Linked DNA regions of Saccharomyces cerevisiae S288C. Each later gene encodes a partner of the first gene's protein in a complex. Each region holds a gene or a part of one and is shown in the gene's direction. Other genes may lie near its edges.

Region 1 (3,056 bases):
CTCTTGTTCTTACCAAGTGCTTCTGAGATCGATATTCTTTGCTATAAATTTGATAGACTTGTAGAAGAATTTTATCCTGAAATTCACAACCACATGGTTGAAAAAGGCGTCCGTTCTTCCATGTTTTTGCCCGGTTTCTTCACGACACTGTTTCAAAAGAAACTTCCCACTGAAATTCAACCACGTATCGGTGATATGGTATTTTTAGAAGGTATTGACTCTATTATGAGAATTTTAGCCACACTTTTATCTAATTCCCGAGACCATCTGTTAAAAATGGGTTTTGATGATATGCTGGAGCTATTGAAATCAGGTCTGTTAGATGCTTATATTAAGCAGAATGATGGTACACGCGGTGACACTCTTCTCTCAAATGAATGTATGGATAAATTACTACAAGACTCTATGATGAAAGTAGCAATAACCCCAAAGACTATGAAGAAATATTCTTCTGAATATGAGGAAATTCACAGATTGGACAATGAAAAAGAAGTGCAATATAAGTCTATCACGGAAAAAAATTTACATTTACAAAAGCATGTTCGTAAATTAGAAAACGACTACACATCTTTAAATAGAGAGCATGTGACAATTGCGAACGAGTTAGTGAAAAATCGGCTTAATATCGAGTCTGTATTAAATGAAAATAATGGTTACAAACTTCAAATTTTAGATTTGAAGAAAAAGTTGGATTCAGAAAAAAAGAAGCAAGTTTTAGGTGTATATGTGCCCAATGATTTAAAGAAAGATTTGGAAGAGACAATGAAAAAGAATACCCAAGTAATGGACGAAAATTTGAAATTGCAGGATAGGATTTCAGAACTAGAAAGGCTTATTGAAGAAATAAAAACTGCAAACAAAAATGGTACGTTATTCGAATATTCTAATTCTAAAAATAATCCTTTGGGAGCCGGCTGGTCAGGATTTAAAAAGGTTTTTAAATAGTTAAACTGTGTATATCAGCTACTGCTCCCCTTGAATGATACATGACTAAATATAATGATAAATTTATTTCTTGATTTTTGATTATTTCATATTTTGTTGACATTTGAGAGCTTCAATTGTATAAAGTTGCAAGATAATATATGAGGTTAGGGAAGCCGGATAAAGAAAATAGAGTACTTTAAAACTGTTCATGGACTAAGAATTCAGTGACGATGAAGTAGTAAAGGAGAGTGTTTAGGATATAAATAAGACCGAGAAATTGTTAGTAAGCATTACTTCTAGCAGAAATAATGAACCACAATCGTGACAATATATACTCGAGTTAGCAGTTAACAGTAACCCTTTCCATACCATTCTAAACTTTGCAACAGTAAATATCTTGGCGTTTAACGTTTTATTTTATTCTACGTTTCTCAAATATCGGCTGTACTCATGTGGCACATCATGAAAAGAGCCTTCATATCAAGAATTCAAGAATTTTAATTACATCGTGACAACGGTTTCCTAAACTTTTAGTAAAAACAATTAAATGTGCAATTTTGTTGATTATACTGTGGACAAATTGAGCTTAGTACGTTTCCTTCTTCTCTTTCTGCAATTATATTTAATTAAATAATCTCGTATTCTCGCATCCGGGCACGCTTTGTGAAATTCATTTGAGAAACCAAAAACAGCTGATCAGCTAGAGCTATTAGAAGTTAGTGCCCAGGGGTATAGAAAAATCAGTTTAAGGAAGAAAAAGCTCACAGAAGAATATGCAAAAAATTTTCAGACCATTCCAATTAACGAGAGGCTTTACCTCTTCCGTAAAAAACTTCAGGCAATGGAGACTGATTGAAACAAGGAAGATTGCCAAACAACCGAACTACCAAGTTGGTGATGCTAAACCTTTACATATGCCAAAAGAAAGAAAGAAATTTCCAGATTACAAGTATGGGGAATCTAATATCTTCAAACAGAGTAACAAAGGTCTATATGGTGGATCTTTCGTTCAGTTTGGTAACAATATTTCTGAAAGTAAAGCCAAAACGAGGAAGAAGTGGTTGCCAAATGTTGTCAAAAAAGGTCTCTGGAGTGAGACTCTGAACAGAAAAATCAGTATCAAAATGACCGCTAAAGTTTTAAAAACAATCAGTAAAGAAGGAGGGATTGACAACTATTTAACAAAGGAAAAATCTGCAAGAATAAAAGAATTAGGGCCGACCGGATGGAAGCTTCGTTATAGGGTTTTAAAAAGAAAAGATGAAATAGAGAATCCCCCACATAAGGATGCACCTATCATAGAAATGGCTGGTGGTAAAAAGGCCAAAATTTACTATGATGAAATAGTAAACGGCTCACCAAGAAAAATATCAGTTGGAAGAAGAAGATTGATGTCATTTTTATATCCTTTAGAGAAATTGGAATATAGGTCAGTAGGGAAGGACCTGAACTACAAAAAATTTGTCGAGTTATTTGCCGACGTTCCAGTCAAGGATATCCTAGCTAGATTAGAGGATCATAAATTCGACTTATCCACCATCACCGTATAAAAGGAAGAAATAAAGAAGATAATTGCCATTCCGAAAATATCGTTGGTTTTCCCCTGTATATAAAAAAGCATATCTGTTTGTACATATGTAGGTATGCACACATTCTGAACATTATTGATGCGTATATGCTTGCTACATTAATTGGCAATTCATTTTTTAGACTGTTTTACACCCGTACATTTCACAGTTTTTTTTTGAAGTTAAATTCCAACTGAATGGAAGCCTCCGCTCCTATGAAATTTATTTGAAATCAGAGATTTCAGGATGTTGAACAGTATAGTACTGATTTACAAGTATCAAAGAAACAAGAAAGACAGCAAACACAATAAGAAATGACCGTTAAGACAGGTATGTGAGACATAAACAAGGAACTGAACGGGTTATGACGATTTTCGAACTTATAAAGGGGTTTACCCCAAATACGAGAAGAACATGAGTGCATTGAAAACTTAAAAGGAAACAAAAACAAGAATATTATATAATTTTGAGTGATTAATGACCAATGGAAATAGCCAGAGGAAAAATACCATTTAATATGCATACACAGGCTTATCTCTTCACTCCTATCTAAAAAACTAT
Region 2 (3,295 bases), on another chromosome or scaffold:
TTCGACAGCAGATCTTCTATTTTCTCACCATCAACACCCACCGTAATATCCCCTAGTTACACATACTTGTCTTCCATATCTGCAACTTCATTTCAAATTAGTACCACTTCAGAACTCTCTTCTAGTTGGTTCTCAACAATTTCTTCTCCTTCTACGATATCAAATAAAGATACCACATTCCCAAGTTCCAGTCGGAATACTTCCACATCGTTTTACAGTTCATCGCTTTCATCGACGAACGATTTTTCAACCATAAGCAAATCATCGAAACTCAGTCCATCAGCTTCATCTTCGACAGTTTCCATAAGCACGATTTCCGTGCCAACGTCAAGTTCTGTTAGCTCATCCAGCAGTAAAGTACCTTCAAACCGTCCTTCATCATCATCATCATCAGATGATACAACAAGTGCTTACTCAAGCACGTATACTTTTCAGTCCTTACAATCTACTACTAGCAGCAGTATACCACCCACCACTCAAACACCCAGCACTAGTACGATTTCTACGTCTCCCATACCAACATCCAGTCAGGTCTTCAATACGGTAGCCATTTCAAGCTCCGAAGATTCAAAAACTATTTATTATTTCTATACCCAAACATATGATATTACTGACTCCTCTACAACGTTCGTGACGGGATTACCTACGACCATAGCAGTTGCAAAAAGTGAGGTAACCTCATTTTCCGCTCCATCTTCGACGATCACAGCTGACATGTCTTTCTATCAGCACTGGCTTGATGGCAGTTTGGATAATAACAAAAACCAAGGCACTTCAAAGACAAATACTGGTACCATTGTTGGAAGTGTGGTAGGAAGCGTCGGTGGTATTCTTATATGTGTACTAGTAGTTTGGTTCATGCTGGTTAGAAAAAGGAAGGCAAAGAGGCATTTCAAGGAAAACGATTCCTTCTGTCACGAGATTGGGCGCAGAACGGGATTCCCAACAACTGCCCAAGCAAAAGAGGCGTCACTTCAAGCTCAAGACTCGGGATCACAGCAACGAAACACCGAGACTGCTTCTGCTAATAATCCGTTCAGCAACGAATTCAATTTTAAGGCAAGAGGAAATCCTCCTCCAGTGCCACCACCAAGGAATGTTACCGCAATGAATGGCTCCTTTCAAAATATGCGGAGTAATTTCATGGACCAGGAAAACAGATTTTCCTATGGCTCTTCATTTACATATTCGTCATTGGGTTCATCTACTCAAGGTGGCTTTTCTACTTTATCTTCAAATTCGATACGACTCGGACGTGGTTTAGATAATGACATCTCTCATGATGAGAGAAATACAGTTCAGAACAATTCACAAGGGTTCTTGAGGGAAATTATATGACGATGACTTCAGTCTATTAGTATGATGTTTACTAATTAAGCAAAATCAGCTCTTGCTGAATAACACTACTATTAAAAATCATAAAAACATCTTTATTGCCAATAGTGAAGAACGACAAGGCCTTTTAAAAGGCATAAAAAACAATGATACCATTCTGCAATGAAAAAAAAAGAAAACTTTGTTCTTTGTGTATAAAGAAAATATTTTAGTTCTCCTAAATAAATAAATACTAAATTATACGAAACTCTTTCAGTCTTTTCTCCTGCTTGCTGCTTGAACAGTACTCATGATATTCTATTAATCTTCTGTGGGCGGGGTAACTAAGCCTTCACTGTACTCGGGATTTTGAATAAAAGTCAACTATCCAATCTGGAAGGCATTTTAACATACGCCATTAGGAGCCGCATAGCAAGTCAGAGAACCTCACCTCACCCTATCTTTTTTATTAAAGAAAATGAACTTCCACACGGCAAGAATATCTCAGGTCGGTGTCATTTCTAGGGCTCTACTTTCTTCTGTAAGTAGACGTTGGATTCATGTAACGCCAATAAGTCTTAATAATTCAGGAGGATCACTATTCGGAAGCATTACAGAAAATAAACCAAAGGAAGGAAAAAACAGGGGGGATGAAGATGCAGGCAGCTTCTCTAATAGGTTAGCGATTGCTTCTGATTCTTCTGGAGAGGCTCCTGAAGTTAATAGGGATTCAATAACCATAGAAAACGATAAACTACTACAGCAACATATCATATCGTTGCAGCAACCGGAACAATTAGCATCACAGAGCTTATTATCTCCTTTGAAAAGGGAAATATATGAAGCTAATTGTAAAATTAATGGTGGGTTTTACAAGAAAGATACTATTGTAAAGTTACCAAATTCTAGCGAACGTTACAAGCTAAAGTTAACAAAAAGAGAAATTGAAGTACTAGAACCTTCCGTATATGCTCAGTCATATAGAATTAAATCGTCGATGAAAAAGGCTACACTTTTGTTGAGGTTATTGGGAGGCCTCGACGTTATGAAAGCTATATCTCAGTGTCACTTTTCTAATAAGAAAATTGCTCGCGAAGTAGCAGAACTACTTCAAAAAGGTGTAAAAGATGGCCAAAAATTAGGTTTGAAACCAGAGGACTTATATATCTCTCAGATTTGGACAGGGAGTGACGGGTTTTGGAGAAAACGTGTTGAATTCAAGGCAAGGACAAGAATCGGAATCATAAGTCATCCTTACATACATGTCAGATGTATTCTGAGAACAAAGAGTGTTACGAAACGAAGACTTGCTTATGAAGCACATTTAAAAGAGCAAAAAAGAGCGCCATGGGTACAGTTGGGAGATAAGCCCATTAGGGGTGTTACAGGCGGCGTATACAAGTGGTGAAAACGATAGCGAACTCATTCATATCCGAGAAATCGTCCTGTAAGCTGAGAAAGATGAACTGCTACTCACTTCTTAACCTATATTCACAGTTGTGTTGTACAAAACTTTTCTTTTGATTATATAATATTGTGATTCTGTAAATAACAACTAGTTTCAACGCACTGCTTCAACGTGCACCCTCCTGACTAAACACGGCAATATGCAAGAAACCGCAACAATTAAGTGCACTAGAATAGAAGAAATTATTGTACTTATAGTTTATTTATGTATTTAATAATTAAATCTAAGCTTCAACTGGTTCAGCTTGAGCTTCAGTTTCTTCAGCTGGTCTGTAGTCCTTGACAGATGGAGCAAGAATTGGTTCTTCTTCTTTTGGTTCAATGATGGTGACAGCATCTGGCAAAGCCTTTGGACCAGTTCTGCTCTTAGCTGGGTCTCTCATAATCTTAACCTTGATACCCAAAACACCTTGTCTCATCAAGACGTGTCTAGTAGCAGTGTCAATGAAGTCGTTGACTGGTTGACCAGAGTGAATCAAGAAACCGTCAGCAAATTTCATAGCCTTAGCTCTGG
Region 3 (2,733 bases), on another chromosome or scaffold:
CCACGCTCCCAATTTCGAAGTTTTACTTGGTTTGGAATGCTGTTTTCGAATCTCACCGAGCCACGTGGAACCTTTCACAGTTGATGGTTTTGGATGGTGTACTAGTCACATACCCGAGCTTCAAACAATTGAACAACGCCTATTTTATTGATGAATCCAGCAACAAAACTGCGCTTTATTACAGAAACTGGAAATTACAACTGTTTTCACCAATATGGGCGCAGCTATGGAATACTGCCATTGTCAGGGCTAATTTATCGATTCAGCATTGCCTTCTGATAGCATTAGCTTTACTTTTTAATCAGTCAAACCGAAGCGCCCTTTTGCATGGAGTTGACGTATCATGGAATTTGGTCACAGAGAAACTATTGGACCTTTTGGAAGAGTATGTACACGGCATTGTGCAGCCGATGGAAATTTTTTCGACTGATTCAGTCTTATCAACCAACTTGAATCATTTGGCCAGTTGCTTGACCAGTTCAATCACGAGGTCAAATGAGGCAACTTTGGTAAATTCAGTACGCAAACTAGAAAGGATATGTCGATACTTGTCCGATACTGTGGCTTCGTTGAAAGAACAACAACTAGATTTCAAGTTCCAAAATGTATTTATCCTGATAATCCTCGCGTTAAAAGAATTATCCGCCATGAATATGACAATACTGCCTAACCATAAAGACACTTTTTATTCTATGATCTGTTTAAGCCTTTTCCACGTCCACGTATTGACTCAAAAAATCGGGACAGTCGGTTTTCCCAGTTACGATTATGTTTACGATAATTTAGTAACGTATTTCATTGTCATGGATGACTTGTCTAAAATCACTACAGTTTTGGAACTAATGAAAAGAAACAACACCAAACAAGATCCAAATAAATTAGTGTTTTACATCAATTTTCTAAACAAAATTACTAATTACTATGGGTGTCGCATTCGTTTGCCGTTTATTACTGAGTTTATCGAACCTTTACTGCATTTCGATGTATTTTTTAGCGGGAAGACGGGCAATACCTTGGATATTGAAATCAAAGAATCTATACACACATTGACAATCACTGTACTGTCTATAGACTCCTCTTATTCCTCACAGGTTGCACAATGGCAAGTATCCCGCATACTCGTCTATTTAAAGATGTCGATGGACCAATTTATTGCAGGTAAATTGTCCGCAAATCAAATTTTACTTATATTCGGCCATCTATCCACACAACTTCCCTCACTACATAATTATAACAAGCATTTGCTTAGGGACTCTTTGCACGAGACGTATATCAGAATTGTTAATGTAAAAAACCCAGAAAAGAAGAATGTATTGATTGAATGTCTGATTGTACAAATAGCCTTTATCAACAATCCTCATCATTTGATCGGCTGGTTGAACATCTGTCTCCAGCTAATCAATACACATAACAAAAAGCTACTTCAACAATTGTGGGAAATGGTTTCGAGTCTAGAATCCTCCCTAGCCATCGACTGGTGGTACACAACGGTCTTATCAAGTCAATCTTCTAAATTATAGTATCATTAAGTACTTTATAGTAGCGCCTTTTTATATTCCTTTTTTCTCAAACAAAAAAAAAAAATGACTGGGATACAAGTGAAAGTGGAAGAGCAAGTGAAATACGAAATAAAGTGAACCATTTATACAGAATAGGAAAACCAACTAGTGCATTAAACTAAACTCCATGTCATACAAACAGTATTTTGATAGTTTGCCTTTGAAATTGAAGTCCTTTTTCCAAAGATACCCCCCTTCAATCAAGTATTCTCCAGTGTCTACATCTACTAAAGCCATTAATGCCAATCCTTTCCTGCCAAATAAACATCCGGTCACACAACGATTTCATGATCCGAAATATTCACTTAGAAGAATGAGTGACGTATATAAGTTGGCACTGCGTTATGGAGTAGAAGAGTTTTTACCACCGATCGAAAACACTAAGAAACTTTTCTTCGAGGAGAAATACAATAAAAAGACCCTCATGAAAGGTGTTCTCTTGCCCAAGGGTCATAAGCATGAATTGAAATTAAACGAAAAGCTAAAAAAACGTGAAGAAGCTTTAAAGAAGGTAGATGAGTTGATTGCTTCCAAGAAGGGTTCGAAGTATGCCAAGAGAGTAGAAAAAATGAAAAAAAACCAAAGTATAGGCTGGTTCTGAAGAATAAGAGAGAAGATAACTATAGTTTAGAATAGTAAACCCTATGTGTACTGTTTTATGTTTTTAATGTCTAATCATGTAAATAATTTTGTGATATCAATAACGAACGTTCTGAACAAGAATTATGATAAAAAAAAGTAAAATCTAAAGCCATTACAACGCTATATTTTCAGTGGCAGTAAAAACGCAAGAACAAAAACAAAACGTGGGTAAAGAACAAGGACTACAATGGCTGTCAATGAATTTCAAGTGGAGTCTAACATCTCTCCAAAACAACTGAATAACCAGTCAGTGTCACTTGTTATTCCTCGGTTGACAAGAGATAAAATTCATAATTCAATGTACTATAAAGTAAATCTAAGCAACGAATCTTTGAGAGGCAATACAATGGTAGAGCTTTTGAAAGTTATGATTGGCGCATTTGGTACCATAAAAGGTCAAAATGGTCATTTACACATGATGGTTCTCGGTGGCATTGAGTTTAAATGCATCTTAATGAAGTTAATCGAAATCAGACCGAATTTCCAGCAGTTGAACTTCTTATTGAATGTAAAAAATGAGAACGGTTTTGAC

The links. Proteins that work in one complex are often made in the same cells at the same time.
Region 2: MRPL24 (region 1) and MRPL22 share a complex: the UniProt entries of both Saccharomyces cerevisiae proteins name them as parts of the mitochondrial large ribosomal subunit.
Region 3: MRPL24 (region 1) and MRPL25 share a complex: the UniProt entries of both Saccharomyces cerevisiae proteins name them as parts of the mitochondrial large ribosomal subunit.

What each region holds. Positions count from the first base shown.
Region 1 is NC_001145.3:648,336-651,391, forward strand, and holds MRPL24 (mitochondrial 54S ribosomal protein bL28m MRPL24), read left to right. Parts: upstream 1-1,700; coding exon 1,701-2,477; downstream 2,478-3,056. Other genes in the region: GYL1 (Gyl1p), read left to right, coding at 1-945; 60S ribosomal protein eL36 RPL36A, read left to right, coding at 2,810-2,825. UniProt on the Saccharomyces cerevisiae protein: Component of the mitochondrial ribosome (mitoribosome), a dedicated translation machinery responsible for the synthesis of mitochondrial genome-encoded proteins, including at least some of the essential transmembrane subunits of the mitochondrial respiratory chain.
Region 2 is NC_001146.8:303,113-306,407, reverse strand, and holds MRPL22 (mitochondrial 54S ribosomal protein uL22m MRPL22), read left to right. Parts: upstream 1-1,792; coding exon 1,793-2,722; downstream 2,723-3,295. Other genes in the region: TDA7 (Tda7p), read left to right, coding at 1-1,338; 40S ribosomal protein uS3 RPS3, read right to left, coding at 3,006-3,295. UniProt on the Saccharomyces cerevisiae protein: Component of the mitochondrial ribosome (mitoribosome), a dedicated translation machinery responsible for the synthesis of mitochondrial genome-encoded proteins, including at least some of the essential transmembrane subunits of the mitochondrial respiratory chain.
Region 3 is NC_001139.9:636,531-639,263, reverse strand, and holds MRPL25 (mitochondrial 54S ribosomal protein mL59 MRPL25), read left to right. Parts: upstream 1-1,686; coding exon 1,687-2,160; downstream 2,161-2,733. Other genes in the region: PEX8 (Pex8p), read left to right, coding at 1-1,520; U4/U6-U5 snRNP complex subunit PRP38, read left to right, coding at 2,389-2,733. UniProt on the Saccharomyces cerevisiae protein: Component of the mitochondrial ribosome (mitoribosome), a dedicated translation machinery responsible for the synthesis of mitochondrial genome-encoded proteins, including at least some of the essential transmembrane subunits of the mitochondrial respiratory chain.